Linked DNA regions of Drosophila melanogaster. Changing the gene in region 1 together with any one later gene gives a genetic interaction. Each region holds a gene or a part of one and is shown in the gene's direction. Other genes may lie near its edges. The genes, in order: para, jus, Rab8 and Rab30.

Region 1 (8,154 bases):
TGTGGCTTTCGTGTGGCTATTTGGCTATTTGTGTTGCTTTCGCGACTTCTGGTCGCTATAGAAAACCAAAAAGCTGAAAATATAGTGAAATGGCATGGGGAACACCCGTTAAAGAAAGTACCGATGTGTTAAGACCAGTCCAAATGGGTGTTACAATAACTTTGCGGCTCGTCCAATGCCCAGCGGGTTAGGCCGGTGCCATTCGGCCAACAGCCTGCCACCAGCCTTCCATCGTGCTCACCAGCTTGTCCCGGGGCGAAGGCTCCGCAGGACCCCCATACCATTGCATCCCATGGAGAGGGACGGAAGCCCAGCCGGAGCACCACCAGTCACCAAATGGCAGTCGCAGTTCAATCTGCCCCTGGGTTGTGCGTGTTCAATTGGCTTCCAGCCCCATTGTTGTTCTTTGCTCGCCCTTTGCCTGTTGTTGGCTTTTGGTGTAAAAAATTTACATAACCCAAATTGATGCATAAATAAATTATTAAATACGTGACGTGCAAATGGTCAAAAGACCAAGCTAGCAGCCATCGAGCAGCAAACGCAAGTCGAATAGCATGTGTGCAAGGCTCTGGCCTTTGGCTTCCATTGTGCGAATCCCAAGGGCTTGCAATCAGGACGCAATCCAATAAGGAGATTGTGCTCTCGGTAATATTGCCATCCATATGCGACCTGCGACAAATGTCTTATGTTACGCGAAGATCCTCACTGCGAATTCAATTAGGAGCAAGGCCAAGGTTCATGATCCAAACGAATTCCAAATCATTGGCTCCCATTATGGATGAAACTGTGATAAATAAACATTAGTCCCAAAGAGAAATTGGCAATTTAAAGGTTTCTAAGTACGCTATTGAGTACAACTATTGAGTGCCAGGAAATGATAAGTCCAAACTTATAGTATTACACACTTAAGAATGAAGTCAATTAGGTTAAATTTATAGCAAGCTTAAACGCTTCGAAAACAGTTTCCTGATTTAAAAGCATTATTACTCAAACTCCCACAAAAGCTGCGCGCTTTGGTGACCCCAATCCAGTTAAGACACACACACACACACACACAGTTAAACTCCATTGTTTTCAATTTGTTTATACATATGTATGTACTTGTCCATTTGTAAGGACATTAGGAACGCAGTTCCTTAATGTGTGCAAATGGGTGGGCTGACTGGTGACTTGGTGACTTGGTGACCCCGCCACCGCTGGGTTAGATAAAGTTCGGATAGGATCGATTGGTCGGTGTCCAAGATGGGGGGCCCCGAAAAGCGGGTCAGCATGATTTGCGATTATAGCTGATGCTCCATATTCTCGGGCCACATTAGTTATGAACGCAGTCGGACTTGACTTGACCAGTCCAACTGGTGCCAAACGCCCAAAAATAATGACCCACTGTTGCAATTTTCGGGCAGAGCAGAGCCGTGGAATATCAGCTTGATGACCTAAAAATAGAACAAGTGACCAAAGACAAATAAAAAAATGAGAGTCGGCGATGGCGAATAGTATGTGGCAAATGGCGGAGAATAGCGAAGGGCGAAAGGATAAGCAGCGAAAAACAGGGTGGCAAAGTAGCACAACAAAACCTGTGTTGACAACGACTTGGGTGGTTATATATGGCAAATGCTTTAGGGCGAAAAGGACTTCTCACACACACACAAACACACACACGCGCGAACTGCTTCTGCTCCTTTTCGCGGCAAATTCGGATAAAAGGAAGTCACGGCGAAACGGCGGACAACTGCCTGGTTCGCCCGAAAACGGAGTTACCCAGAGAGGAGGAACTTTTTCAGTGCTCAGTGCTCGACTTTTTTCCGCATCCTTGTGTCCTTTTTCAATACTGCTCTGCGTTTCACGTGCGCGCGAAAATTGCATAAACACAAACAAGCCGCGACTCGCTGCCTCGACATTTTTTTTTACAGTGCATCCAATCCAGTGAGACATTATCCTGCCAATTGAGTGCTCATTTTACGTTTTTTTTTTCGTGTGTCTAAGTGAAAGCCATCAAGTGTGTGAATACAATTTACAAGCCCATTTTAAATATCTATTGAAGAAATATAACAAGTTTAGTAGAAGGAATCAAATAAACTAACGACATAATTCACATAATTGGCACAAGGACAGCAGAAAATCTAACATATAAAAAGAAATAAATATTAAAAAAAATAATTTCAAGCCATTCAAACAATACTAGGGGGTGCTTTTAGTGGGCCATACAAATTATTCGAAATTTTTTCTTCCGATAATATTTTTTTCAATTTTTTTTACATTTCTGTCACCTTTTGTGAATGAGTTTTCCCATCAAATTTTCCAATTTAAGCTGGGTTTCAACAACTTGTTCGCTTTTCCGCAGGCGACGCTGACGAAATTGAAACTAAAACCGAAATAAAATCTGCAAATAATAATAATAATACTATTAGTCATAATACGGAAAACCAATTATAATCATAGCAACAGTTGAGAAACCAAGCCGAGGCAAACTCATTTAAATATCCCAGCCAGGTAGCCAGATACTAGTAGAAATAATACAACAAATAATATTAACATTAACTATAAATAATAAATTGAAACAGCTCTGGGAACAAAACGCAACGTTTGATGAAAATTTCTGGCAACACGTCTTGGTTGTTGTTAAGCACGCAAAAAAATTAAATAAAAAAACCAATTCAAATACCCAATGATAATGCAGATTTAACAAACAAAACCAAAACAAATAAAAGCAAACAAAAATACAAATATAAAAAAAAAACCAAACAAAAAAACCAAAAAACAAAACAAACAACAAATTCATCTTCTACTTGTTCTACCGCTTCAACTTTATTCGTCTTCGTCTCCGTAATATATATATATATATAAAATATACATATATATATATTTATATATATATATATCTATGTATATGTATGCATATGTGTGTGAGTGCGTCGCGTGTGTGTTGGTGCCTGTAAATGTGTGAGCCACAACAACAACAACTACAACAACAGCAGCAGCAGCCAGAGCCACAACCACAACAACAACAACAGTAGTTAACAGCAGCAACAATTCTTAGCAGCAGCAGCAACAACAACAATACAAGCAAGCACGCTCACAACAAAAGCAGCAACAGCAACAACAACCACAATAGCAACTACAGCAACAACAACATCAGCGGATAGAGCGAGCAGCCAGGCACAACATCGATAGACATCGATTAACGGTAGGTAATCGAAGGCAATCGAAAAAATCCATTTAATATGTATTTTATTATCACATTCATTGCACTTTTAATTATGCTAATGATATTTAACCCTAAACAGAGGAAAAAAAATCGTGAAATTTTTTATTTGTTGAGTTTCAACTATTTCCGATACCTTGAATGATTTATTCTTAAGACTAAACGATCTTTCGAGTCTAAAAGAACCACTTTTATGATGAATTCTTACAATTAACACATAGTGGAAATGTATTGAAAATAATTATGTTATCTATGTTAGAGCAAACAGGCTAACAATGTGTTATATTAGAAATTCTCAGCTCTTACTTAACTTACTTCTCAGCTCAAAACAAAGTCATTAATTTACTTTTCATTTTGGTCAAAGAGAACTACATTTTACTGGGTCAATGGTTCAACTTTCATTGAAAGTTTTTAAGAAACCCACATTTGGTATTCCCATCGATTGCAATTTTAATATAGAATACCAAAAAGGGCAATTTACGCTGCACGTCAAATGAGAATTTAGAAAGCAATTGTGTCTTTCGTATGTATTTCAATATTTGAATAGCTAGAAAAGTGTGAACGGAGCAGTGGGCGACTTGATGAACTTGGCTCGATTATGTCATGCCTCCTTGGTGAAAATCCCAGTTAACCAGGCCCGACCTCAAGACCATATCAATGGGGTATCTGCGCCCCTTTTTGTCCCGCCCACTGGCACGCCCCTTTGCTTTTGGGCTACAACCTTTTGCTGGCTTTTGGAGGGCAAACTTTCAGCTGCCACAAAAAAAAAAAAAGAACAGAGCAGAGCAGAGCAGAAAAAAATGAATGATGAAGGTTGAGGGGGGGGGGTGTTTCTAACGGAATTCCTTTGCTCACGCACACATTGAAAGGAGGTTCGTTAAGAGAGAAGGGAACCCAAAAATGTATTGTTGTAGTCCGTGTTTGTTGGCGGCATCACACAGAGAAGTGAGAGCGCAAGAGAGAGGGCACTGGCTCTCTCGGCGCAGGCAGGAGGAGAGTGAGAGTCCTCGCTCTCTCGCCAGCCCATTGCGCTCTCCCATGCAAAATTCATTGACTAACAACATGCTAACTTCGTTCAGTTTTTTGCTGTTTCTGTTTGTTTTTTTTTTTAGTTTTTTAGTCCTTTCCTTGCCATCGAATTTTGTTCAACAATTAATAGGGTAGCAGATATTCTGTGTTATATTGCCAAATCGATACCTTGGGTTGGCTAAGGAAAACGTTTTGCGTTTCGCTCATGTGTTTGTCATGTGTCATTTGCATATTGACACAAATTCCGGCTCGGGTTGTTTTTTATTTCAATTCTTGTTTGCGGTTTTTCGCATGACTCATCGACCCAGCGAATGGCCAAAAATTAATTCGGCAAACAGAATTTTGCGAGTGTCATGAATGGAAACAGACACACATAAATATATGCTCATATTGGCACATCCACTGCCACTCTGTGTGTGTGTGAGAACGCTACCCTATGCTTCATGCCTCCGTGTGTGTGTGAGTGTGGCGAAATATCGAACTGACCTACTTTTATGCTCGATACACACACACACACACACACGCACACACACTGGCGCGCTCACACATACACACACGCAGCCAGATTGGCAAATGGAAAAAGAGTGCTTTGACCTTAGCGGAGGCTGCTTATGTAAGCCCAATATCCGAAGACCGCAGGAACATCCGTAACCGAATCTAGATTCAATTCTCACATTTTCTGTAGTAGCGGTAGAAGGTAGTGTTAGACCGTTTCAAATAAATGAAGTGCTTATAATATTATCTACATTTTAAAAATCATAATCGTATTACCTATTACTAAGCTATCTATGTAAGTCAAATCCAAAATTTATACAAACAAGCAAGCGGCGTCAATAAAGTCATACGCATTAAGGCTCAGTTCAGTCAAGTCAACCACTTTTCACAAAAAATCGTTAAAAATCGTTAATTTCTTCGAACGTCGCTATATTAAAAAAACGCAAGGCTCAATTCAGTCAATCCTTATCTATTCCAACTCTGAGTAAGCGAGCAAGCGAAAAGTGTGTGAAAATGGCTTGGAAAATGCTCTTCGCCATTTTGTTGCTGCTGAGTGCGGCCAAAACCGGCTATTTGGCCCCGGAGTCGGAAAACTCTGTGGAGGATGTGCAGATAGAGCCCGGCGCCATCTATGGCGATGAGAAGTTTGCCTACAAGAGTCCGGTGATCGATGCCGAAAAGTTTTACTTTGCGGATCACTTCGACGACGTGGAGGCATCCCGAAAGAGATGGGTACTGTCGCAGGCCAAGAAGAACGACATCGCCGATGAGATAGCCAAATACGATGGCATCTGGAACTGGGAGTCTCCGCAACGCATCTTTTGGGCAAACGATCTGGGTCTGGTGCTCAAGTCGAAGGCCAAGCATGCGGCCATAGCCGCCCCCTTTCGCCAGCCGTTCGATTTCAAGTCGAACAAGCCGCTGGTGGTGCAGTACGAGCTTACGTTGCAGGAGGGTCAGGACTGTGGCGGCTCGTATCTGAAGCTTTTGTCCGCCGGAAAAGGCACGGAGCAACTAAATCGCTTCAATGACAAGACACCCTATACCATCATGTTTGGTCCGGACAAGTGCGGCAACAATTTGAAAATGCACTTTATATTCCGGCACGTCAATCCATTAAATGGCAACATCACCGAAAAGCACTGCAAAAAGCCAAATGCCCGTTTGGGAGTGCCATTCACGGACAAGCTACCCCATCTCTACCAGCTGGTGGTCCGTCCCGATAACAGCTTTGAGATTCGCTTAGACCACAAGATCATCAAAGAGGGTTCCCTGCTGACCGACTTTGTGCCACCAGTCAACCCACCGGCGGAGATAGATGACCCCAATGACCACAAGCCAGAATCGTGGGATGAGCGGAAGAAGATCCCAGACCCCAATGCCCACAAGCCCGAGGATTGGGACGAGGATGCTCCACCACATCTGCCCGATACCGATGCCGTCATGCCAAATGGCTGGCTAGAGGATGAGCCCGACATGATTTTCGATCCAACTGCCATCGAACCCGAAGATTGGAATTCCGAAATCGATGGCGAGTGGGAGGCTCCTCTGGTGGAGAACCCAGTGTGCAAGAAGGCCCCCGGCTGTGGCAAGTGGAAGGCTCCGCTCATCCCCAATCCCAACTACAAGGGCAAGTGGAGTGCACCAATGATCGAGAACCCCAACAACCAGGGCAAGTGGGCTCCCAGGAAGATAGCCAATCCAGACTTCTTTGAGGATCTGAAGCCCTTCCAAATGACGCCAATCAACGCTGTGGGTCTGGAGCTGTGGTCCATGTCCAGCGATATTCTCTTCGATAACCTGATCATCACGGACGATGTGGAGTTGGCCCGTGACTTTGCTGCCAACAGCTTCGACATCAAGCGTCTCTACATCGATCGTGAATCATTCGGGAATAAGGTAGTCGAGCTAGCTAGGGCCAATCGAGCGATCTGGGGCATTGTCATAGTGGCCATTGCGGTGCCGGTTGCCATTACCATCTTCTGTAAATTTGGTTTAGGCCCGAGTAGGGTTGCGGCTGCCAAAAAAGCTGCTGCTGCCGCGGCCAAGAAGACCGACGATCCTCAGCCCGATGATGACCTGGGGGCCGAGGAGGAGGAAAAGTTGGAGAAGGGGAAGAAGGAGGAGGAAAAGAAGGAGGAGGAGGAGGAGGAGGAGAAGGAGGAGAATAAGGAGGAAAAGAAGGAGGAGGAGAAGGATGACGAGAAGGAGATGAAGGATTGCGAGGAGGAGGAGGATGACGAGGAGAAGGATGACGAGGAGAAGACCGACGAAAGGGCCGCTGGTGATACCAACAAGGAAAGCACACCGCTGTCCGCTAGTCCCAAGAAGAACCAAAAGTCTTATTTAGATAATAACGAAGATGAGGAAGACACATTAAAGAACAAGGAACCTACCCCAAAAAAAAGGAAGCGTAAAGCACTCAAGGAGTAAGCGGGCATCCGTAGTCACTGCAACTCTAAATAAGAAACTAAATCGAATTCCAAGATCCAACTGTTGCAGAGCACCAACAACCAAATGATCAAGCAAACGTAGATTTTAAACATGTTCTAATTTCGCCAAAAGAGCCGACATCTCGATCAAACTACACACACACACACACTATCCCACAAACACACAGACACTATTTCACAAACACACACACACACTCTCCCACACACACACACTCTCCCACACACACACACACACTCTCCCACACATACACACACACACATACACATAACACATCCAAATCCAAATAAAATCGGATTAAAAAAAAAGAATTGGGTGTGAAAGGGAAAATTGTTTGAAGACGGAAAAACAAGCAAATTTCCGCGATCTTTTCGCTGGTGGTAGCATACTTTTCTGGGCTGCTGCTGAGAATCCTTGGCAGCAACTCAAGAAATCGCAGGGATTCCGACTGCAAGAAGCAGTCGCAGTACACTGGAAAACGTGGTTCTGGCGATCCAATGATGTTACTTTACTTTACTTAACACGTGAGCATAGGGTAACGTGCGATATGCCCCAAGGATCAGTATTCGGGCAACTGCTGTGGAACGCCATGTACGATGGTGTGCTGAGGTGGCCACTGCCAGAAAGAACCAAGGTGATTGGTTTCGCGGGCGTTATTGCCTTCGCTGAGTGCCTTGGTAATGCATCTAATTGCACCATATACTTACTTATATTATCAAACATAAAATTTATACGAACAAGTAAGGGTCATAAGTAAATTCATAAGCATGAATTGAGCCTTTAAGTTAATCTTTATTTTTCCCAACTCCCCGTTTAAAAATCGTACGTATTTTAAATTCTTCGTACGTCGCTGTATCCAAAAGAACGCAAGTATGTGTGTGCGTGCTGGCATTTATTGATTGGCCATTGTTTTTGTTTGTTGCATTTTACTTTTTTGATTGCATTTCATTTGACGCGAATCGCCGCCTGCGGTAATC
Region 2 (8,044 bases), on another chromosome or scaffold:
ACAGTACTTTCAAATCAAATGGTTATGGAGAAAATAATACATTTTATAGCTTATAATTCTGTGCATTAATTCCCTTAGTGTACTATGATGATTGATTTCAGATCTTGTGCAAGATGTGTCCATAAACTTTGCTTGTCTGTTTGTGATTAATACCCATATTTGCATATTTTGGTTTTGGTAGAATGACAAATGAGACAAGTGTCCGGAAAATAAGTTTTGTGTGGTTAATTCACAGTTGGCACTTGTCTATGTTGGCCAGTGTTATCTGCCGACAAAGTTGACAAAGTTGCATAAAAAGCATTGACAGCTTTTCTTTGGCTTTTTTGAGCTTGTCACTGTGCGGCGTCTTTGCCGTTTGATGCCTTTTTTTGTGGACCATTGATGAGGGGTGTGCTCTTTCCAAATAAATCAATTACATAATGCCTTTTGTGCGATTATCCGGCAAGTTTTTGTCCGCCTGACAATTATGCGCGCATTACATTATGTGGGTCAACGTGGCGTATGATTAATGAATCCCTTCACGAGGCACAATGATGTTGCCACGGCTTATGCTACTTCCACCGTCGCCTCCGATGATAATGATGATTATTATGAGGGTGATGGGCCATAGAAGACACGAACTGCGTTGTACGAAGCCAGTTTTGACAAAGTGCTTCATTGAAACTGTCCGAAAAAATGGGTGCTAAGCGGTCATTTATTTTATTAAGTTGGTAGTGAAACTTCTGCATGCATTTAAGTTGTTTGCTGTGACTGTAAGAGCACTACTTAACACTGAAAGTTAGTTCGATTATAGATTCTAGATCTTTCTAATAATTCCATTGGCTTGAGCTATATAATTAACCCACTCCTCCTATAACTTCCAACTTACGTGAAGTAGACTTGTCCCCGCTTATTTTGCGGTGCCTTCCAGATGAGCTTGGCGCCCAGCTTGTCCCGGTTGTCCGAGTGCGTAATGGCCGAGCACTCTGGAATGGTCTTGGTGTTCTCGCTCTGCACCCACTCGCCGATCCACTCGTTCGAGTTGGCATCACGCGCCTGCAGGAAGAATCCCCGGAAGACGGTGCTCTGGTCCGAGTGCGGGTAGATGACCACCGATATCTGCTGGCCGGGATGGTAGGTCTGCGCATCGGCCACCACCTCGTACGGATTCGAGTGAGCCGGCTGACTCCGGGCCTTGCCATGATTCGGCTGATTCGCCCGCTGCTTCACGCACGTGTCCGCCGGAGCGCCGTCCGGAAAGGCGACTGCGGCGCCTATCAGCAGGAGCAGCTCCAGCGACAACCACTTGAATCGATCCTTCATGGCTCTGGAATTCGATTTTCCTGATCGTGGGAAAAAACGCGCGCGCTCTCGGCTAATCTGACGCTGAAACTCGGCTCGCCGCCGCCATCGCCGGCCGCTTATAAACCCAAGCGGCAATGCCACAAGCGACGCTGCCGCCGAAGACATGGGCGGGCGGTTCAAGTGGACAGATAGCCACAGTCGGGGGTGTTTGAATAGGAGCGTTTAGCTATCCAAGAAAGCCAGCTATTGGAGAAGTCAGTGCGCTAAATCATCTTTTTCTTGACTACGATAAAACTTTTTCTAAAAAGTTATTTGTACTGTTTAAAAAAATATTCAAAAATATGCAAAAATATAAACGAATATTCCACGCTTTTCTTCCAGAACTCTTTGCTGTTGATCAACTGTTATGATAAATAGTAATTAATAGCCTTTGATAACTTTATTTACTAAACAATTGCACTAAGACCCAACCGTAAATCATTACTATTATTTTATTTGGTTTTTAATTCTTAAAAGAACTAACACGGAATGATGTGTCAAGAATAAATCATTGACAGATGCCAGCTGCCATCCCAATAGATTTTCTTTGACTAATTTATGGCCGCAGCGGTGCTATTAAGCTGACCGCAAATGTAGTGGGGCGCTCAGCTGGCGGCGGCCAACCAGTTTTTAATGATCAAAAAGCAAATGGCCAAAACACACAGAGTTCCTTTCCTGCACAGTGATCCAAACTGGGTCACACATTAGTCCCTCCCCTGGTCGACGAATCGGATTTCTTTGCTCGGTTTGGTGGTCTGGGCCCGAAACTCTGGTGCTGCTCTAAGTGCTCCATTGCGAAATTCTATGCTTCTAATCGCTGAAAATGTTGGAAAATGTTGGAAAATGCTGTCCGCACTGCAACATGTTCCGCAGTTTGTTTACTTTGCGCCTGTTCGCTGCATTTTTCAGCGCGTTTTAATGTTTTAATTGACAGGCAGCCGCCGTTGGCGTTGATTTCGCTGAATTGAGTTGGCTCCGGTTGGGTTTTTCCTTTTTCTGATTTCTCAGTTGTGATTTTTTTCTGGCAGTTCGCTTTTCCCCCTTTGATACCGCTGCGTTTCGCATTTCACAGCTTCAGTCGGCGGTTTCCTTTCTGGGATCCGCCAACGCCATTCCTTCGTGGAATATGGTTTTCCACCACCTCATTTTCACTTTAGTTTTTGGCAAGGGGGATAATTGCAACAGCTGCTGTCAGTTGGAATACAAATGGAATAATTAAGTCAGTTCTTTAACTTTAAGCATTTGCTTAAATTTTCATTTATAAATTGTTCGGAATGTTTTAAAATAGTGTTTATACTCATTAAGAGAAATAATTATGCGAAATAATTATCAATTAAACTATAACAAATGGCACACAACACAGCTATGTGTTTTATAATTCCTATTTTCGCAGCATATTTTATAGCTAGAATGGTAACTAAATAAAAAATATAAATAAAGTGCCCAATTATTTCTGCTCACTTTAATTATCTTTTTTTTTTTTTTTTGTTATTCACAAGCACTGCAAACAGCATACCGAATGGCACACAAATTCTAATTTAATAAATGCGCAAATGACCAACAACACTTCGGGCCAAAACACACTTTTAAGTGCTAGTGTGTGTATCTACACGCACTCACACTTTGGGCCAAGTCAATACCAAACTTGTTTCATTAATTAAAATGTTCGGTTAATTATTCAAATTGCACGTGCCAGCGTCAGCAACTTTTGCGCACAAAACTAAATTGTTTGCTTTTGGCAATGTGTTTGTGCTGAAACGTGATAAATAATACTCTAGATTGCTGAACTTTACAATTGGACATTGGCGCTTATTTGCATTTCAAGTTGGCCGCACTGCAAAGGTCAGTTAACCCGGTGGCTTTGCTTTAACCGAAGGATCAGCGGGCCGAAAGGACATATCATCCATTATGGATGCGGCGAATGCGAATTTTCAACTCCCTGCACTGGGCAGCAGCATACCGAAATTTTCGGCCATTGAAAATGACATTTGCGCCACATCACACCAGGTCTTGTTACGCTACACAGAGAAAAATATACTAAAAATATTATAGAATTTCATTTTATTATGAATTAATCTATTCATATTTGTTTGATATTTTTGATTTTTTTTATATATAAAATACACTATTTACAAAACTTTAACGCATCAAGTCATGCCATTATCATAGAGTTTAAAAATATAAGTAAGCTAAATATTTTATCAATTAATATCTATATATAATATATATATAATATGCAAGCTGGTAATGTGTTTCTTTCAGTGCATCCATCCTCCGGCCAATGCATGCGAAATTTACTTCAACCTAAAGTACGAAAAAAGTGGGCAAACGAAGGAAAACTGCCAGCCGCCTTAAACCGATGTGCCATGTAAATAGTGGAGCTTGTGGGCTCAGAGGGGGGGATGGAGCGGTGGCCCGAGGAGGGGTCGAAAAATCCACTTCATCGGCGACGGTTGGCGCGGAAAAGTGTGTCACCTGCAGGCGGGAAATGCGCAGGTCCTGTGAGAGGAAAAGCGGCTGCCGCCTGATGGTGACTTTTCCTCGCAGACTTTTCACCAACGCCACATTCGCATTTTCCACCAAGGCTGTGGGAAATTCGGCTCAGAACGTGGTCAGACGTCGAAGCGCGTGGTCGTCGAGTTTTCCGAGAAAATCCAGTGGGAAAGCAAACAGTGCGAGGCAGCAGCAGCAGCAGCAACAACAACTATCTAGAGCAAAGGAAATTGTGAGCAATTTGTATTTTAGTAGTATATTTCTTACGCGCGTGAGTGTGTGTGTGTGTGTGAGTCAGTGAATGAGTGTGTAAGTGTGTGAATGTGGTGATGAACCGAACAGCGTGCAACAAGAATAAAAAACGAATGCCCAAAAGTGCCAAACACAAACAACAACAAAAAAAACGAGATGAAAACAGAATATACATAAATGGCAAGCAAATATTTTTCTTCTTGAGCAGGGCAAAGAAAATCACAAACTGCAGCGTATCCATGCCCTCAAACCAAAAAAAAAAGAAAAACAAAAAAATAAAACGAAGAAAACAGTGAAAAGCAATCAAAGTAATAAACGAAAAGGGGGGAATGGCGAACCGAACTGAAAGCAAATCAAAAAAATCAATGCCCTTTCTGCGGAATTATACGTTGCGTATACGTGATATGTACCGAGGTAGCCAAGTCAAATAATAATAAAGGAAATTCTCACGTGACGCATAAAAAAGCCAAGCTCGCACACACACACAGCGATGGCAACAGTAACACGGCATGCCCCTCAAACATACGCACACAGCGGTAAACTTACTACCTGGGACACAAATTGAAGTTGGCGAAACATATTTGCGCAGCAAAGTTGCTACACGCAGCGAAAACTCGCTGCAGTAGTTTCAAATTGTGGGGGGAAACTGTGATAAACACAATTCATAACCAGAAAAGAGTTGAACTAATCAGAAATCTATAAAAGATCTTAAAGTTATGGCTATTTAAAAGCAATGTGGTGCCTAAAGTTGTGGTAGTGCCTAAAAGTAGGCAATGGAATTTGTCATTCGTGAAATGTGACTTGCTGCGTATGTATATAAGTATGATTTGTGTGAAATATCATCATAGCACTGATGAAATTCAAACATTTTCTCATCTTTTCTTGCAAAAGTGTCCCACTTTTCTCCGCCTGCATTTGGAAGGCACATGATTATGATGAGCTTGCCTCGCAAACTTGTTTCTTTTTTGAGGCTCGTGGCTCGAAAATGACAACAGCTGGATGGCCGAGTGGGTGGGTGGCGGAAGATTGCCTTTTGCCGCATTTGTTGCCGCTATTTTGCATACATTGAATTTAATGAACTGCCTGTGTGCGGTGTGTTGGATTTGCTTTTAATAATTTAGGCTGCGCGCGAACTAAATGGCGCTTTTAAAGTACGAACCGTCAGGCGACCCCAATATGGGCGACAAACGGGCGAGATGAGGCACAAATGAAAATATGAAAAAGGGCAGGGAAAACACGAACCATTTAATGCCCCTTCGCACCCTCGTTGCGCCTGTATGGATACGCTGTGAGCTGGTGTGTGTGTGCAACCCCAAGTCGGAAGGGCAGACATACTAACACACTTCAGCCGGAGGACTACGTCATCCTGGCCCAGAAGCTTTGGGGCCAGCAGCCCCCCCCGACAAAGCCAAGCCAAACCACTGCGAACCGAACCCAACCAAACCAAAGCGAACTTCGCTGGGAGCACAACTTTCCCTCGACGTCGCCACATTTTCGCATTCACAATCACATCGCGTGGCATATCCATAGGCGTAAGGATACGGCATAGGCACATGGTCTGGCCTCCACTCACACCATCACACTCGCCTTGCCACACATATACACACAGAGTTTGGCGAATGTGCACATGCACAGTATAGGTGAAGTTATAAGGACTCGAGTTGCGCTGCTCCTCCTTCGGATCGATTCCGGCTAACACAGACTTTGCGGCAGTTGCCGTTGCAAACACTTGAAGAAAAAGGGTGTAACTGTGATCACGAACAAGTCAGCTGCATTTAAAGAATCTTTCAGACTTGGAAGAAGTTAAAACCCTTGATTAGATTGAGATACATTTGCAAAGCTCAGAAGAAAGTAGTGGATAGTTATCTTCTATCTATTTAAAAACCTTTACTTGGTTACATTTTCCGATATTCTGTTTCTATATCATTCGCTTTAGGATCACCTTTCTTTCAGTGAACTAACTCCAATTGCAGTGGCAGTTACTTCGCTACTAGCTGCACGACAATCTGCATGCGGCATGACATCGCGCAGCCGAAGGATCTCGAGGATATATGTGGCTGGCAGGGGGGCGTTGCCGATGGAGACGTCATCAATTTCCATCCAGCCTATAAATACAACTAAAGTATATATGCCACAATGTGATGCCTTTGCGCCGGCGGCAAGTGTTGCAGTAAATTTCGAGGAGATCCGACTGCCGGCATGACCCTTGACCTTCGACTTGCACCATGTGGCATGCCCGTTTATGCTTCGATTTGCCGCCCTATACGCCATATCCACCCCACAGCCCCACGCCACCGCTCAGGCAAATGCAAAATCATTTGCCATCGAAATCGCATGTCGACCGGCAGAAATAAAACTGAAAAAAAAAGAAGTAGAAAGAGCAGACATGCCGTATAGCAAACCGAAAACCCAACCAGAAATCCTTGTCGCACAGTTTGCGTTTATAATTTATATACGACGTTCCCCGTACGAGGAGGCTTCTCTTGTTTTAGTTGCGCATTCGTCCTTGTCCCGGCCAAGTATCCGTATCCAAGGCGGACTCTCAATCGAAATCCGCATGGAGGAGGCCTTTAAGTGCGCCCGCTGGCATTTGGTGCTCCTCCCGTTTAGGCCGACAAGCTGCCCGCTTTATGGCTATTAAAAAATGCATTTAAATACACACCACGGCCTGCCATTTACCATATAAGCCATATACCATATAATCTTCGATGCGGCCTGCGTCTGTCTCCGGTTTTCGCTTCTCGGGCCTCTTCAGCTCCTCCTCAGCTCGAGTATGAGCTCCTTTGGGGCGTTGTTGAAAATTGAAATTGCGCGCTTATTTATGGAGCTCTGGCGGGGACGCTGGCGTTGATTGCCGTAACGCCCCATTGCCTGGTACATGACTATAATAATGATTGCCATTTTTATAGGCCAGCCAGCGCCGGCGCTGCGAAGATAAATTGTTTGGCTGCTTGGAAAATCGTTTCGCTTCGACATTTGAATCCTTTTGCTCGAAACTATCTGCTTGATTTTCCCCTGGCAAATGGCTGCTGCGGTGGGTCAGCGCATGAATGCCAATGAAGTACAGCGCTAGCCACGGCGTATACTTAATTTTCGGGCAAATACTTCTAGATCTTTCGAGGGCTGACAGCGCTTCCCATAGGCGCGGTTAGCTTAAGTGCACTAATTAATTTTGCTGAGGTGAGGCTGTCCTTTAAGTAGCTTAAGGATAACTAAATGCCGCATCTCTGGGGCTTTCGCTGTGTGTGTGGGTGTGTGTGTGTGTTCACCTCCAGGATAAATAATAAAATTGCCAGCGGTCGACTGGCCCCGTTTCGCTGATGACACAGAACCGAGGAGTCGAGTGGCCCGGAGTCGAAAAGTCGACCTCTGACACCCTCATTATCCTACATGTGTACAGCCACATAGTCCTTTATATGTGCGGCAGCACGTGTGGAATATTAAGCAAACTGTGCAAACAGTCGTTGTCACATTAACCATGTCATGGCAAGTGCATATGCCACTCTATCACCCCCGACACTTGGCTCAGCGATTGTGGAGCCGTGCACTGGGAGAAATTATAATGGCATACTTCATATAAATAGCGATATTGCTATAATATCTGCATTCAAACAAATAACTAACTAACTGTCTCCTTCAAAGTTAGATGTAACATTACTCGCCAGAGCTATGATATTAGGTTGTTCATAGCAATTATTTCTCTGAGTGTATGCCACCTTTTAGACCATGTTCTATTTATAGTACACAAGCGGCACATATTTTATTTTTCGTGCGTGATCAATGGAGTGCGCGTTGCAGGCATTATAATGACCAATGACCATCCAACGGCACTCGATTAGCGCCACTTCACGCCGCTCTAAATGGATTCCAGAGCTTGTGGATTCCAGTGACTAAGCCTGGAAAAATCGCATTTTCCTTCCGCATTGGTGGCTATATGTGCCACTCGCCCAAAGCCCCACTTTTCGCACGTGGCCTG
Region 3 (9,099 bases), on another chromosome or scaffold:
AATTATGCGACGTCACGGAAACGGCATTTTATTGAATGTTAACTGCAACTCGAGTCTGCGATTATTGACCACCGCGCACATACTTGCATGCTAGTCCTCACTTCCCCCTTGGTTTTACTGGAACCGGTTGGAGTGGCTAATAAGAAACACACGCACCCGGTCGCACGCCCCACACCAGTGATGGTGGGTGGTGGAGGGGTGGTCCGGAGTGCTGGTGTTCCGGGGGAGTGAGCCTTATCAGCGACACTCGTTTTCTTAACTCTGGCTGGGCCGCCTGGCCACAAATCAGCAACCATAACCATAACAACACCAGCATTTAGATGATTGCCAGCGCAAAGGGAAGGCGGAATAAAGTAAGTGAAAAGCACTAAGGGAAGCTAAACGTCATTGAAAGTGGGCCGAAAATGGGTATACAAGTTGGCTTAAATAATCTTAACTCTTCTGAATGATTACCAATTTTATTGCTGGTTCATTATTATAAAATATTTGGAGAAGAGTGAACATTCCGATTTTCATACTTTGTAAATAAATTTCTATTTTTTTGGCTTATCAGCTTGTTTTAAACACAGTAATTCCTTTTCCTATCTGAACATATTCCACTTAAAGAGGAATTTTAAGAAATAAGGAAATGACATGCAGAATTAAAAGCCCAATGAATTATTTATTTTAAAACATTTTTCTTATGGATATTCCAATTGGAAAATCGAAATCCAAAATGCTCCCCTTTCATTATAATTTCATTTCATTATAAACAAAAAAATTTTAAAGTAGGCTTCTTTATAAAATACTTCAACAGAAGACCTTTGCCCATAGAGTGCGAATTGAAATGAACACTGGAATGACATGCTGAACTTGAAATGAATCGTATTCGCAGCGACATCCGCATCCGCGCATTCCAGTCACCCTAAGCGTGAACTGCACTCCACTGGCTGTCTAACTGTTTCTCATGTGCCTTCGCTGCTTTGTTGTCTCTCACCCACACAGCGCACACCTCCAACTGCCACCCCATTCGGTTAGCTTTTCTATTGTGACGTCATTGGCGGCGGAGACGCAAATACCCATGCACATGAAAACACATGCAATAAAGAAGCCACACTGGAATGGCAGTAGATAATTGCAAGAGATAGGATTAAGAGGAGCATGAGGATGGTGGTGGCGGAAGTCAGTGGTGATTCCCGTTGGTCAGAAGACGTGGGCGCAACAACACAATGGAATCGATTGCACCTGCTTGTACGTTGTTGTTGCTTTCGCAGGGGGTTCTGTTTTCTTGATTGGCAGTGACCTATTTTCTGCGGCTGGGAGACGGCCCCACAAGTAACCAGCCGGAGGAGACTCACCGCGTTTCACCGAATCCTCGTAGCTGACGCTATTGGAGTGCTTGGACTCCTTGGTGCCCATGGTCCAGAATTTCTTGTTTGCGGGGGTGCAACTCAATGGATTCTGGGGCTCCGCCTGCTGCTGCGTCTGGCGACGCCACTTTTCACATTTGTTCAACTTCACTTCACAGTCGCGGGCGGAACAATAGGCTGCTGGCGAGGATCAGGTGCAGGATCACGACGATATATGTGTATGAATATATAATATACACCTGTCTTTTTGACTCTTGTCTTGTGCTATTTTCCTCTGTTTCTTTCTATATTCGCGCACTTTCCAACACTAACTGGAAACAGCTGTTTTCCCCATCGTACGATAAGCTATCGATAGACGACGGCGCGCCAGTGTTGCGCAGCAACGAATTATCGAAACTCATATTTTTTGTACGGGCGTAATTAGAAAGCAGTAATTAACTTCATTTCCACGTAATTTTCACAACAAACCAACGTAGACTCGCACCGCGTAGCGAGCGCCTTTGCATTTGCCCACCGGAAAAGCCGCCGCACGAAATCCGAAACTCGGGCACAGACAACAAAAAGGTCTTAAATCTACGTCGCCATTTTTGACACGGCTCCGAAATCGAAAACACAACACACACACCCAAGAGAAAAAGAGCTGCGCTGCGGAGAGAAGGAAAAAACTATACGTTTTCGATTCGAGTCGATTCAATTAGATTGTGGATTAGTGCGGTTACGTCTGGGTATAGTGTATATGTACATACATACGCTAAACGGCACGCATGGGGCATAATCGTGATTAGTGTTATTAGCCAAGAATCGGAGAGGAAGTCAGTCAGTTGATTAAGGAGACGACGACGTGTACAGAGCATCATCACCCTTAACCCGTACCCTAACCCCCAGCTAAGCACTATTATCGGGCCAGATACTGTGATCCTACCGCAAAAGCACACAAAATGGCCAAAACCTACGACTATCTGTTCAAACTGCTCCTGATCGGTGACTCCGGAGTGGGCAAGACCTGCATCCTCTTCCGATTCTCTGAGGACGCCTTCAACACAACGTTTATATCCACAATAGGTGAGTGTCATCATCCGCGTTTACCGTGTCTTCCGATTCTTAATTTTTTTTTTTTTTTGGTTATTAATTATAACACCTTCGTTCGCATGAACTCATTCGCAATTGGAAATCCGAGCTTCTGGCCCAGTGACTCATTAAATGCCTCTTTTCTTTTTTATTTCCTGCCCCATCCGGGCGCATTTGTCATAAATATTGTTGTTTCCATGGGAGGGGCACTCCCACCATGTTTGATTTCTCGCGCTTATTAAGATTTTCCCGTAAGGAATATATCCGGATGCCTTATCTCGCCCTGAGATTCACACCCGCATAGGAAAGCGATCAGAAATGAGTACTCAGTCCGAGTACCCATAGTCTTTGTACTTTCGCTGCTCTTATCGCCCCAGAAGCCGGATTGTTCCGATGCGAGACTTGACCGTCGCACGCCAAATCGGGAATGCCCTATTATATACCCAGCAGGCCCATGCCCAGTCTCAGAGGGAATTCAAGTAGTTGTTCCCGTACGAGTACAGTGAAGCCTTTCTACCAAACACAGCAAATACTTTTTAATAAATTCGAATCATAATCAGTACAACTTCAAGTGGCAGTTAAATCAGATTATGCTAGTAATTTTAAGCTTATTAAAATAATAATCACAATAATATTCGACATGCACACTGTACTTTCCCGTACTTGTAAACACAAAAGTAGAGCGATTCCCATTTCTGCTCGTGGCTAATAATTGTTTATTTTCGTTTTTGGCACGTTTTCATCGCGACACTTCCAATTTTGGGGCATTTACTTAACGACATTGTTTAAATTAATTGCGTGGTTTGTGGATTTCGGTTCTCTTCGTCTCTTATTTTAGCTGCGATGTCATGGGTTCCGACCAAACAGGTTTAGCCTCTTGCCAAATTATTTAAATTAATTAGCAAACGTACATGTGTGTATATGCTCATCTGTTTTCTCTTTTCAGGTATCGATTTTAAAATTAGAACAATTGAATTAGATAACAAGAAGATTAAGCTGCAGATATGGTAAGTACTAGGCGATTCATCTGTATTCTCTAATTACCTATATCTCCATTCATTTTCCAGGGACACTGCCGGCCAGGAGCGTTTTCGCACAATCACCACGGCCTATTACAGAGGTGCCATGGGCATCATGCTGGTATATGACATAACCCAAGAAAAGTCCTTCGAGAACATCAAAAACTGGATCAGGAATATCGAGGAAAATGCGTCCGCCGATGTCGAGAAAATGCTGCTGGGAAACAAGTGCGAATTGACCGATAAGCGACAGGTATGGAAAAAAGAAATTGGTGATTTCGCTGGCTATTCCTCCAAGTTCGTTTATTTGTTTGTTCCATAAAAGTTATCTACAAACATTTTATTTATATATTTCAAATTCAGTTAGTGTATAATCATTTGTTATTAAATCCAATAAGGGATAGACAATGATTTGGCGCAATATTCTTTTCAGCTTCATAAAGCTATCTGCCCTTAAGGCCGATAATTAAACAATTTTCCACCCGTTGTAGGTTTCAAAAGAGCGCGGCGAACAATTGGCCATCGAGTATGGCATCAAGTTCATGGAGACCTCCGCGAAGGCCAGCATTAACGTGGAAGAAGCCTTCCTCACCCTAGCCAGTGATATCAAAGCGAAAACGGAAAAGCGAATGGTGAGTGTGCGGGTGGCGAGACTCGGACAAAGCGTTTTTTTTACTGTGGCTAACCATTTACATCCTTTGTGTGCGCAGGAGGCGAACAACCCACCCAAGGGCGGCCATCAGCTGAAACCGATGGACAGTCGGACGAAGGACAGTTGGTTGTCCAGGTGCAGTCTGCTTTGACGTGGCAACGTGCGCTCGGCACTGAAGCGGCATGGTGGCAACGACTACACGGTAGTGGTTTATGGTGGTAACTACGAGGTAGTAGTTTTCTTAACTCCTGTTAGGTTCGAGTACAAGCGGGACCCCGACAAGCGGACATTAACTGACATCTAAATCAACCTTAAACATCAATCAGCAGCCGGCTCCCTTTAACCGAATAAGCGCGATAATGGAATAGAACACAAATTGCATTATGAAACAGTTATTAAATAAAGTATATGACGACAGCGTGTACGAAATATACCTAGGCATGATAATATGTATACATATATACGTATATAACTCAAGTTTAAAGATAAAACGATCCAGCGATAGCGAAAATCGAAGAGCAGCCAATCCAACCCGCCCGCGTCCTTCTCGAAGAGGTTTTAGTATTTACGGAATTATGATTTTCTCTAGCAGCCATGGTTGTCGATTTGTAAATTATTAATTGTAAAACAAATATATTGTATGTACTATGTATGCATATGATTAGTTTACCTGTCCTTGTTTTGCTCATTGCTTGTATGTACTTTCGATCGATTCAGAAACCCTTTTGCCATTACGTTGGGAATACGACGGAGGAGGTCCAGACGCACAATGACCCAAAAGTGTAAAACAGCCCAATCCGCCCCGCACCTCCCCCTACCCGGTCCTAACTTTATATAATATAATGTGGTAGTATCGCACAGATCGAGGGTGCTTATTATATTCTTCTTAATCTTCACACACATTTCATTTGGTTAGTTCGTACTCTATTTATTTTGTTCTTTGCCGCACACCACATGACTTTGTCAATAAAACGTTACACCTAATATTAAAACATTAACGAAGATTTGCAGATTTGCGAGATATCACCAATTAAAGGTAGTCTATCGATGAGAATCGATCGGCAGCAATAAACAATTATGAACACATACACAGCGCAGTAATATAAATAATGTGAAATTAAATGATAACTAATTGCATATTTGATATTAATTAATTACTTGTAATATTAATGATTAAACGTATACAATTTTATAAAAATAAATCATGTGCAAAACCAAAAACTTTTTATTTGAAAAGATTTTATGGCTCGTTTCGTAGCGCTGAGCTTCTGTCATAACAGAGACAGGCGAGTTCGACGCGTCGGACCCAAAGTCGCGTAGACAGATTGTGCTGTGGAGCATTGTAGAGTATGGGCTGAGGACTATCAACTTATACAAAATGTCCATGCTGCAATGCACTGGGTTTCCCAGGTACACTTGAGAGGACCTTAAGAAATCCAATACCAGTTTGTGGGTAAGTCTATTCGCTCAGGGTTCGATCAGGGATTACTCTTAAATGATCTGGATCATGTCCAATGACCCAAGTCGGATGGAGAGGATTATGAATATGAATCATAGCTTAATCGTTGACATACCGACGAGACATCATGTTGCATTATGGGGCATCATAAATTTATATATCTGTGTGGAAAATTAAAGAAAAGTCCCGTAAAGTTCTTATTATATGGTGGTAAAAGAGTTCGAAGCTAAGCTAATTAAAAATTGTAAAAAGAGCCCGTGGGAATTAAACATCCCTCACATGGCCAGACCACTGCACCCTCCGCCTCTTCATCTTCTTCAAAAATCTAAAACTAAACTAAAAACTAACTAATCTTACTACTTCCTATCAAAATGCTAGAGGCTTGCGTAGCAAACTAACCAAATTGTATTGTAATAGCCTTTCCTTTGCATCCCGTATAATAGTGTTCAGAGACTTGTTTAAAGCCGGGGATTTAACTCCGAAGTCTTCCCACGTACATATGTACACATTATGACCGTCCCTCCAAATGGGAACGGGTTAGATCTACCCTCCCGTTGGAAGAGTTACTTTTTGACGAATCCCATAACTCAGAAATCATATGCGTAAAACTGTCATTTTCCGACAGATCAGTTTATATTATGTGCTCGTATATTCCGCTATCTTCTGAATTCCCAGAATATCTGAATACTTTGTCCGCTATCCAATCCATCTCAAATAAACTGTCTGACAGGGACCAATTGGTAGTTCTAGATGATTTTAATATACCTGGCATAATGTGGTCCCAGAAGAACAATCGAATATTCTTCTCCCTTTAGCACAACATGACTTTATGCTCGACTTATCGTTGTTGCAAGTTAATTATATTCGAAACTCTCTTGGTCGACTGTTGGATCTATGTCTTGTAACAAGTCCTGAAAGTGTGTTTCTGTCCAGGGTAGCACATCTTACTCAACCTGAAGATCCATATCATCCTACTTTCGAGGTGACAATCGACACCGTACCGTATTAAAAGTAAAATCGGAGAAGTCAACCAAGCGAATTCACTGTTTTCGCAAGGCAAACAATTTTATAGCTGGCTTTAATTGGTCCGATCCTTACTCTTGCAACATAATGACGGATGCCATTAATATGTTTTATACCGCAATTAAATCGTTTTTGACTCTTGTGTTCCGATGTACTATCCGGCAATCCTTAAACCTCCTTTGTTTAATAAAGAGTTGAAACACCTAAGAAATGTAAAGTCCAGACTTTATACAAAATTTAAAAATACGGTTCTAAGTCCATCCTTTCTAAATATTTAAGCGCTCGCTTAAACTTTACCGTGCTTAATGCTAAGTGCTACAGGAATTATTTAAGCCGTTGTAAGTTCCAGTTCGCACAGGATCCGAAACAGTTTTATAATTTCGTTAACACCAAGCGAAAAACCATTTCTTACCCTTCTTCGCTATTTTTTGAAAACACTACGGTAACATCGGATCAGGCAATAGCCGATCTATTCGCCAAGTTTTTTCAAACAACATATTCAACTTCACCTCATTCCGAACAGCCATACTCTTATGCGGTCGACTAAGATCGAATCTAATATTTCGCCCCACTATAAACGAAAGCTCACTGCTTAACGATCTTCAGCGTGTTAAAACGGTCTATTCGCCAGGTCCCGATGGAATCCCTGGCTGTGTTCCGCTCAGATTCTGTGCGGAAGCCTTGTGCAAGCCTCTACTGAAACTGTTTACCTTATCTCTGGAATCTTCACAATTCCCCCATATATGGAAGGAGTCCTTTGTGATTCCTCTTCATAAAAAAGGTAGCAAACTGAATGCAAGCAATTACAGAGGAATCTCTAAATTGTCGGCTATCCCAAGACTGTTTGAAAATGTTATCACTCCTCATTTGCAGCACTTTTGTATTGTAGATCAATCATCGTGTCAGCACGGTTTTACGAAACGCAGATCAGCAACCACTAACCTCTTGGAGCTAACTTCTGTCGTAATACAGTGCTTCAAAAATAATCTTCAAACAGATGTCATCTACCCTGACTTTAGTAAAGCTTTTGACTCTGTTAATCATCACCTTCTAATAAGAAAACTTGATCTTTGAGGTTTCACTGTTGATCTTCTAAACTGGATTTCAAGCTATCTGAATGGCCGGTCGCAACAAGTCCTCTTTAAAAATTCTTTATCTTGTATTCTCCGAGTCACATCCGGTGTCCCAAAGGGAGCCATCTTGGTCCGCTTCTTTGTACCTTATTCATTAACGACCTCCCCTTAATAATAAAACATTCGCGTGTACTTATGTACGCAGACGATTTTAAATAATGCCTCCAGCACAAGGACAATTCGCGCCATTTGAACTTACAATCCGATCTAGACAGATTTCAAATATGGTGCCGTGATAAAGTGTTAGACTTAAATGGCTCCAAGTGTAAAGTTATGACCTTTTGTCGGGTGGCCTTTGGACAGAATAACACGGGTTGATGATCTTGGTGTTCTTCTGGACCCTAAACTAAAACTTTCTGACCATATTTCGAATAATATCATATTGTCAATAAGGCCTGGGGTGTGGGTTTGGTTTTATAAAAAGGTGGTCTTAGGAATTTGATGATCCTTACTTGACTAAAGCCTTATTTATTTCGTTAGTCCGTCCGATTCTAGAGTACGGATCACCTGTTTGGAGTCCACTCGGACCGCATTGAATCGGCCCAAAAAAATTCTTACTATTTACCTTGCGGCGCCTAAATTGGAATGCAAACCTTATATTACCTCCATATTCCAGTAGACTACTTTTATTTAATTTACCTTCCCTAGCTAATCGTGGAACGATGCTTGGAACAGTCTTTATTTTTAAGCTTATTCGTGAAGTGAAGTTGAGAGTCCCGACTAGGTTAGTCGGCTTAACTTCTGTGTTCCAAGTAGATTTACTAGAAACTATATACCGCTTGTCTTAAATCATTGTAGATCTAACCATGAGTTGCATGACCCTTACAGAGAACTATGTTCTGACTATAATAGACTTTATCCTATTATCTGTTATCTTGACTCTCTGTCTTGAGCACATCTCTAAAGTTTAATTATTTAAAAACCGCTCTCAAAGGAGAAGCAAGGAGTATGATTACTCGCTTGCTAGCGGTAAGAAAATAAGAGAAAAATATTTTCTGATCAGATGAATCGTTTGATTGATTTAACTATTTTGTGATTCTGTAAAATATCACCTTAAAAGGATAATATGCAATATAATAAAATTATACCAAATTGTATCAGGCGATGTGTTGAGCGAAAAGGATCACCTAAGGCAAAGTCGAGTTAGAGTGATTGAGCGAGTGATTTTTTAATGTGCGGTTTCTGAGTCTTGGTCAGAAGTTTTTTTAAAGGTTTTGTTTTGTGGTTAAAAACAATATGTTGCACCAAGAATTTCGGGGATTTTCCTATAGGCATTCTCCAGGAAATCGCACTATTCGAGGATCCCAGCTGCGTGAACTAGGGTATAAAGATTTAATTTAACAAAAAAGAGGAAATATGTGATTCTTGAAAATATACCTATTAAAGTACAAGCTAT
Region 4 (7,730 bases), on another chromosome or scaffold:
TTTCAATTGGATTGTGTTCATAAAAAAAAAACGCAAACATAAACAAATCATATTTTATACAAAATGCCTAGATATGTTTTGGTTTTTTTTTTTTATTGTTTTGTAATTTTGTAATTGGTTTTTTTTCGCAGCTTCTGGCACATTCAAAACTTACCAAATGGTCTCCAGCTTTTTGTGTTTAGAATGACCAAAACAATCTCTAGCAACAATATTGAGCTTATTCGATTCTCTGCAAAGACATTTCACCCTTAAGAATTATTCTAGCATTTTTGTTTGGTTTTTTTTTTTTTTTTTTTTTTTGTATTTTTTAATGGTGATTGTGTGTGGGTAGTTGTCGGTAGTTCTTAGTGAGACAGCAGATAGGAAGAAATAGGAGCGTTGAACTCATGAGTTGTTGGTTTGGGGCGAAAGAATTCAATTCAATTAATTTCCAACTTTAGCTGGATGTCATAGACTACTACATTGACTAAAACCTTGGCGAGCTGTCGGACAATAATGCTGATTTTGGTTTTGGGTTAATTAATGATAATTTTATTAGATTTATTCCACAACACACCGAAAATTGCATTTGTAAATGCTACGGAAAAATGTGGTTTGCTAACCTACAAATTATTTTATAATATATTGAGATTTTTCAAGTATGATTTCATATGGCTGAGTTTTAACCTATTAATAAATATTATTACAGATGGTTTGCCCAGATAAGATAAGAGGAATACCAATTGCTACAAAATCCGTTTCAGTCAATAATACAGATTAAAGTCCAAGTTTAGTAAGAGATATAAAATATCACTAAAATACGTTGTTTTTTATAGTTTACAGAATCATGACTGTCTTGTTAGTAATTCAATCCTTTAAGTTTCCCTGATACTTGTTAAACGTTTTCAGTTGCTATTGCAGCCCTGCCAAATATTTTGCACCCCACTGTACACCCACTGCAGTACACGACTGTATCAAATGCCGCGTAGGAAAATAAACAACACAAACCCACACACAGACAGATTTTCCGTTGGCGAAACACTTTTCTGTATGAACGCAGTCTAGTGTGAAAAAAAAATATTACGAAAATCAGCACGCAGATTGGCGTTCCGGCTGCCGATTTTTTATTAAACAGCAAAATTAGGCTAAAAATCGATTTAAGACCACTTAGTATGCATCGACTGCACATGTGTGTGTGTGTGTGTGTGTGCCCGAGACGAAGACGACTTACATACAAACACAAAATGCACGTACGCCTGTGGGTGTCTATGTGGGAAAAGAAGTATACAAACATACATATGAAGTAACTGTTTTTCTATTTTTTTTCATTTTGTTTTTGCACAGCAAAATAATTGCCTTGGGTGGGCACAAAAGCCAGTGGGACTTAATTTAAACGATAGTTGGCTGTTATCCGGCCTTTGGGAACTTACGTTTTTCATGTACGGCGCCTCGAGCATCGCCTCCACATCAAAGTCCTCGGCCATATTCGAAAATTACTTCGCTGCAATTCGGGGTGCTCCGTGAAAAAAGTCCCCTGCTCGGTGTCTGGCACGTTTGGAGAAATCAAAATGTGGTGGGGACGCACAGCGGAATTCGTAGGACGACTTACGAACTTCTCTTTTGGCTTTTGCGATTTTTTAATTAGAATTTTTGCCAATTTTCAACCAGATTTTCTTCTCTAGCGTGGCTGCTTGTTTTCGGCTTCAGGGTTGTCACAGAACTTATCGATGATGAACAATCGATAACTAGTGACCGTACTTCAAAAAGTTTTTAAGTGCTTTGCAAAACGTCGATCTATCGATACCGAGAAAAACATCGTTAAGTATTGCTATGGGAATTGATGTCACATCTCTAATCAAATACCATCACGTCGAAATACAGTAAAATTCTGTTGGTAAACATAAGCAAAATTAAGGCTGGCAATTAATGCGGCAGCATGCAACCAGTTGATTACAAATTTGCAAGCATAGTCAACCTGGCCGAAAGCCTGCTGAATAGATTTGGGGCCGATTCGCATAGATAAGCGAGTAACAAGCATCTACAGCTGCTGTTGAGTCATCATCTTTTAGCCAAATAAGCCAAAAAACAAGGCGAACAGCCGTTGGCCAGCTAGTGATAGAGCCCCAGGTGAGCCACAGGTGAGAGGCGTTGTCTTCGCTGGGGATGGCGTAAGCTGATCCAACGAACCACCACCAGCCAGCAAAGTATAATCGTTACGCGTCGCTGACTAGGTGTGTCTAAGCTCCGACTAACTTTCGTCTACTTTCGCAGAGCACACACACACTTGCCCACACCCAGCGACTCAAAAACCCCAAAACCAACCCATTTTTGGCAACATCCCCAATGGAGGACTACAAGTTCCTGTTCAAAATCGTCCTGGTGGGCAATGCTGGTGTTGGAAAAACATGCCTAGTGCGCCGCTTTACTCAGGGTCTATTTCCACCTGGCCAGGGTGCCACCATTGGTGTGGATTTCATGATTAAGACCGTGGAGGTGGAGGGCGAGAAGATCAAGCTACAAATCTGGGACACCGCCGGCCAGGAGCGGTTCCGATCCATCACGCAAAGCTACTATCGATCGGCTCACGCCTTGATCCTGGTGTACGACATCAGCTGCCAGCCCACATTTGACTGCCTGCCGGACTGGCTGCGCGAGATCCAGGAGTATGCCAACTCCAAGGTACTCAAAATCCTGGTGGGTAACAAGACGGACAGGGATGATCGAGAGATACCCACCCAGATTGGCGAAGAGTTCGCCAAGCAGCATGACATGTACTTCTTGGAGACATCCGCCAAGGAGGCAGAGAATGTAGAGCGTCTGTTCTACGAGATTGCCGCCGAATTGATTGGTCAGGCAAGGAGCAAGGATGGCAGTAGTTCGGCCGCAGCGGCAGCCGCCCAGCGTCAGTCGGAGGGCAGCTCCATCGGACTGGGGAGCTTCAGTGCCAAGGCAGCGCAGAGCAATTGCTGTGGCGGACTCGCCAGCGGCGGCTCCAACTCTAGTCAAGGCGGCTGAGCAGCTGCAAACTGAACTGGAAGCTGAGCAGCTAATCTGTAACTTGTTAAGGACTAATCGTGATATTCCATTTATCTTTTATTACCACAATGCTCCCACATTCTAACACATACATACATATGTTAAATTTTGTTTTTATAAGCATGATTATGACGTGATCGTTTGCCTTTGTCTTTGTAACGATTCCTATTAGATTGTTAAAACACATCGGCTTCAAATACCTTTAAATGTAAAGGTATTTAGAGCAATTCTCTTCGCTTTCACTAAACTACGATAACAACAAACATTTAAAGTACAATGTGCAAACGGATCTGGAAACTGTGCAGCTAATCTGTTATCTGTTATCGTGATATTCTGTTCATGCTTAAGGGTTTATTATTTTAATTACAAGACTAAAAAAATTGATTATTTCTGTATCCCCTTTGGTTTACAGAAAGAAATTGATTGTAAAAACTAATTTACTATTTATCACGATTAAGATCCTATGGGAAACTAGCTGTCAATGACTAAGGATGCTAAATATTTGTGTTACAAGAACTCCATTGGAGGTGTTTAAGACCGCCTGATTTTCTTGATTTGTATTATATAGACGTATGTATTGATCTGATTATGGATCGTTTACCAAGTGAGCATCACAGCCAATGCTACGAAGAATTTATGATATCAAAAATGCTAGACTCACCATTTAGTTTATTTCAATTAATTCCCAAGGAGTATTGCATGTTTTATACATTACATTTTTTGTATACATACACAATTTATGCATATTTATTTGCAATTATTTTTACATATTTTTACGATTAATGTGCAATCTTTGGTAATGCAATTTTTAAATGATATTCGTAATAGTGTTTAAGGTGATTTTATGACATTCCAAAAATTAAGAATTAGAAACTATGAATAGACCAGAAAGCTGAATAAAAAATAAACTAAATACAAGTAAAATGGAAAAGAGTGTTTAATTAATTTACAGCTGATTAATTTACAGCTGAGTAAAATATAAAATATGTTGATTAAGTATATCAACTTTTTACGAATGCGGAAAAAGTTGTTGATTAAAAAAGCTGCAATATATATCTTGTTATTATATAAATATCACAATAATTGGAATGTAAACTTTTAGCCGATAAATAATTACAAATGTTTTTAAAACAGTATTTTGTACAATAATGCATATAAAAAAAAAAAATCCCATCGATTTCAGGATCTAACTAACCACCTTAATAATTTCGTGCAAAAATCGTTCCACTCCGATTCTGAGTTCAAATAGCTCTTCCACCTTAAGTTATAGGTACTGCAAATATTATTAAGTGCTTTAGCCCACAGAATGTTTTTCTTCATTACTTTAAGAGTTAAAAATCGGCCGATCGAATTTTCATTGTGGGAAAATAAAGTTTTTTAATATACTGCAAATGCATCTCTTATCAGATTATTAGGGTTGGGACACTCGAAACAAGTGGTTTTTTTTTTTTAAATAAAACGCTTGCAGAGCTTTGAATTGCATTACTTTTTCGTATCCCCACATTTGCAGCAAGTATAGATTCATCAATCTTCTCTAATCATCCAATTTTTCCAATCTATTATGTGGAGTATCTCTGGAGTGTTGAGTGTAGTTGTGAGCAAAAAATCGAGAAATTCTGCAGTGCTTGTGGTTTTGATCTCCTTTCCCGTTATAAACCATTTCTCAGTCAATGCAAGCCGTCCACCTCTCCTGAAGACCATTATACACGACCTGTCCATGTCCACCACTATGTCCCATTTGGTGCAGTATTTTTCCAGCTGGTTGATCATATCCTGAAGATCATCAATACTTTCGGAAAGTATTGCGATCCTATCAGCGTACATTAGGACATTCACACGGCGGCCATCGATGTCGATTCCGCCCTCCAATTCCTCGGGCAGATCATTCAAATACAGGGCGTATAATAGTTTTGAAAAACTATCGCCGTTTTTCCAAGTGTTTTTTTTCAACGTCTCTTTCAGGAAACGTATTATATTCAAGGAAACACCAAAATGTTTTTCGCACAGAAGCCGGTGTGTTTTTAAAGGTATCGATTCGAATTGAACGAAATAGGAGTAAACGCGCGACCCGCCAGCGTCCAACTTTCTCCGCAAGTAGTTTTCTGATTAAAAGCAGTAGTACTTATCTCGCTGCACTTCCAATTCTAATATTGTCGATCTGTTCGTTCCGCTTAAAAGCTTTCGATTGCACATCCAATTGGAATGAATCGAAACTAAGCTTAAACGTAAAGATACTTTTGCATGTAAAGTAAAGTATATTTTAAATGTAAGCCAAGCTAAACCGTAAAGATACTTTAGCATGTAAAGTAAAATATATTTAACTTTTAAAATCGGATACCAATTATTGGCGTTATATTTAAAAATCCATTAATATCCCTCGGTTACTGCGCATAGCTAATATTTCAAACATTTTGTTTATAGAATATCAGAAATCCAAATAAAGCAAACTCAACCGCATATGTAAACAATATTTAATATTCTAAACAGCCTCTCTGAAATACAAATTCTTAAATTTAAGCCTTCAGCAAATCATTGGTTAGCTCCACGCCGAAGAAAACTGCTGCGGTGGAGGGAAAGGCACGAAGTAGAATTGGCAGGATACCGCGAAATAGAGCTTTTGGGCCTTCTGTGGCCATGAGGTTTCTAAAAACGCTGCGAATGCCGTGCTTGTATGTTCCCTCAGGTGCTAAAAATATGGCATTTATAAATCATTGTAACTAAAGCGATTGGCGATTGGATGACTCACCCGACTGGAGACGGCTTTTAAGTACATCGAACGGCACGGCCAAAGTCCAAAACACAATGCCCGCCGTTCCGCCGGACAGAATAGTTGATGTGGTGCTAATCTTTCCATTGGCGGACTTCTTTCTAGCCAATTCCTGTAGGAATTCGTAGGTCACAAAGTAAAAACCGGTGGGCGAGTCTGTAAATTTTAAAATTATCCATAACTATTATATATACTATAATATTAAGCAATTAATTAACAACTGACCTCTCAGAATGCACGCGCATGTTCCCTTGAAGAGGCTCCGAATGCCACCCTGCCTATATAGCTTGGCGGCCGTGTCAATGGTTCCATTGTAGAGCAGAGGTCCGTTGGACACGGTTTGCGTCTGCAGAAGGACTTTTATACGATCGGTGGGCACTGTGACGAGGGCAGAACAAACTCCGGCCAAGGCTCCCGCGGCGAAGATTTGTGGGTAGGTGAGCCTAATGTGGTCATCCGTTTGGAACAATCGTTTACCCGCCGCATAGACGGCAAAGTCCACGGCATAGATGGGTGTTACTCCCACAAGTGGAGCGGATATTCCTCTGTAGAATCCGCGAAAACCCTCATAACGAAATGTCCTGGCGGCACAATCTATGACTCCCTTGTATCTCGGCGGCTGTCCAGGTGGAGGTGTGGGCATGGTTTGGAGACGGACCTAAAGTGGAACTTAAAGCATTACATCGTTTCCATTTGTAAACACAGTTTTGAAGCTCACCTTTATTGTGTCCAATGGATGGCCAACGAGCACATTGCACATGCCTCCCACGCCGCCCGCAATAAATGACTTTACGGGATTGGATTTCTTTTCTGTGCTGATTTCGACCTCCTCCATTGCTGAATTTTAACTATTTACGTAAACACGCCGAGAAATTCCGTCAGCTTCTGAACGAAATGCACGTGCTTGAAGATCGCTGGCTTCCTGATGAACGCTATCGCTTGGTGATCTGCTTGCTGCGCGGTTGCTGACCTATGATAATGCTGTGTGATTCCGAATAGCGCGGTATTATAATTTCCATGATCAATAGTGCCTCTTATCTATTTCAAATATTTCATTAGCTGTTCCAAAATTGCAGAGGGAACAGCTGATTTGCTTATCATGTTAACAAAACATACACCTAACATTGGCTTAACATTCAGCTATCGATTGCAGTCATTAGTATGACATGGTCAATCGAAATATTAAACAGAATGTTCATTCTTCTTTTTAGCGTTTCAAGCTTTATAACTTAAAGTTTGCTCTGCACGACATTGTCATTATAAATAAAATAAATTGTTAGAAAATTACATGCAAAACAAATTTTAAATTTCCCGTTCGATTACACAGTCTATCGGACATTCTGCGATTCCAAATTTCCATCGACATTCGCAGGGAAACGCGGGCGGCGGCCACACACTTCTTTTATTAATAAAGCGTTAAAAATAAATGGTTAACAAGTGTGGCTATCAAAGGTGGGTGGGCCAAGTATCTTCTGGCGCAGTGCTGGTTGGGCCAGTAAAGTGCAACCACTTTTCCAGTTCCCGTGCAAACGAACAAAACCTGTCACTTTTGCTGTGACCTGATAAGCAAGAAGAAGACTAGCCCACGGAAAGCAACAACAACAACAACGAGAACGACATTAGCAGCAGGCCAAATTGTTGCGTATTGTTTTTTGTTTTTTCAGTAGGGTTCTTGGGTGCGAATTTCGTGAAAAAAGTGTGCTTGCCAACATACGCATAACTTATGTCTGATAAAAGTGCGAAGGAATCATGTATCAGTAAGAGTGCGAGCTGCAGCAGCAGGCGCAAGAGAAGAAAGTGAGCGAAAACGCAACCGAAACCCGAAGTATATATTCTAGCAGCAGTCGAGCAACGTGCTTTGTCGAACGATGTCCCATGGCGAGGATGTGTTAGACAACTGGGAGGAAATCGACGAGGATGGGGTGAGTGCGCCACGCGATGTGATTGA

What was found.
Region 2: of para (region 1) and jus, changing one suppresses a phenotype caused by changing the other (phenotypic suppression), as found in Drosophila melanogaster (2 studies listed by BioGRID).
Region 3: of para (region 1) and Rab8, changing one suppresses a phenotype caused by changing the other (phenotypic suppression), as found in Drosophila melanogaster (one study listed by BioGRID).
Region 4: of para (region 1) and Rab30, changing one suppresses a phenotype caused by changing the other (phenotypic suppression), as found in Drosophila melanogaster (one study listed by BioGRID).

Annotation. Positions count from the first base shown.
Region 1 is NC_004354.4:16,522,307-16,530,460, reverse strand, and holds the start of para (paralytic), read left to right. Parts: upstream 1-3,046; 5' UTR 3,047-3,184; intron 3,185-5,045; exon of another isoform or gene 5,046-5,239; coding exon of another isoform or gene 5,240-7,159; exon of another isoform or gene 7,160-7,494; intron 7,495-8,154. Other genes in the region: Cnx14D (calnexin 14D), read left to right, coding at 5,240-7,159. UniProt on the Drosophila melanogaster protein: Mediates the voltage-dependent sodium ion permeability of excitable membranes.
Region 2 is NT_033777.3:29,190,892-29,198,935, reverse strand, and holds the start of jus (julius seizure), read left to right. Parts: upstream 1-3,942; 5' UTR 3,943-4,048; intron 4,049-8,044. Other genes in the region: CG14515 (uncharacterized protein), read right to left, coding at 869-1,302.
Region 3 is NT_037436.4:19,863,693-19,872,791, reverse strand, and holds Rab8 (Rab8), read left to right. Parts: upstream 1-1,713; 5' UTR 1,714-2,287; coding exon 2,288-2,411; intron 2,412-3,233; exon of another isoform or gene 3,234-3,265; coding exon of another isoform or gene 3,266-3,284; intron 3,285-3,363; coding exon 3,364-3,424; intron 3,425-3,484; coding exon 3,485-3,689; intron 3,690-3,927; coding exon 3,928-4,068; intron 4,069-4,146; coding exon 4,147-4,239; 3' UTR 4,240-5,304; downstream 5,305-9,099. Other genes in the region: Usp32 (ubiquitin specific protease 32), read right to left, coding at 1,338-1,398.
Region 4 is NT_033779.5:7,026,698-7,034,427, reverse strand, and holds Rab30 (Rab30), read left to right. Parts: upstream 1-1,821; 5' UTR 1,822-2,191; intron 2,192-2,250; 5' UTR 2,251-2,322; coding exon 2,323-2,994; 3' UTR 2,995-3,935; downstream 3,936-7,730. Other genes in the region: caper, read right to left, coding at 1,410-1,463; MME1 (mitochondrial magnesium exporter 1), read right to left, coding at 5,529-5,701, 5,762-5,938, 6,008-6,440, 6,501-6,617; CG31908 (uncharacterized protein), read left to right, coding at 7,651-7,704.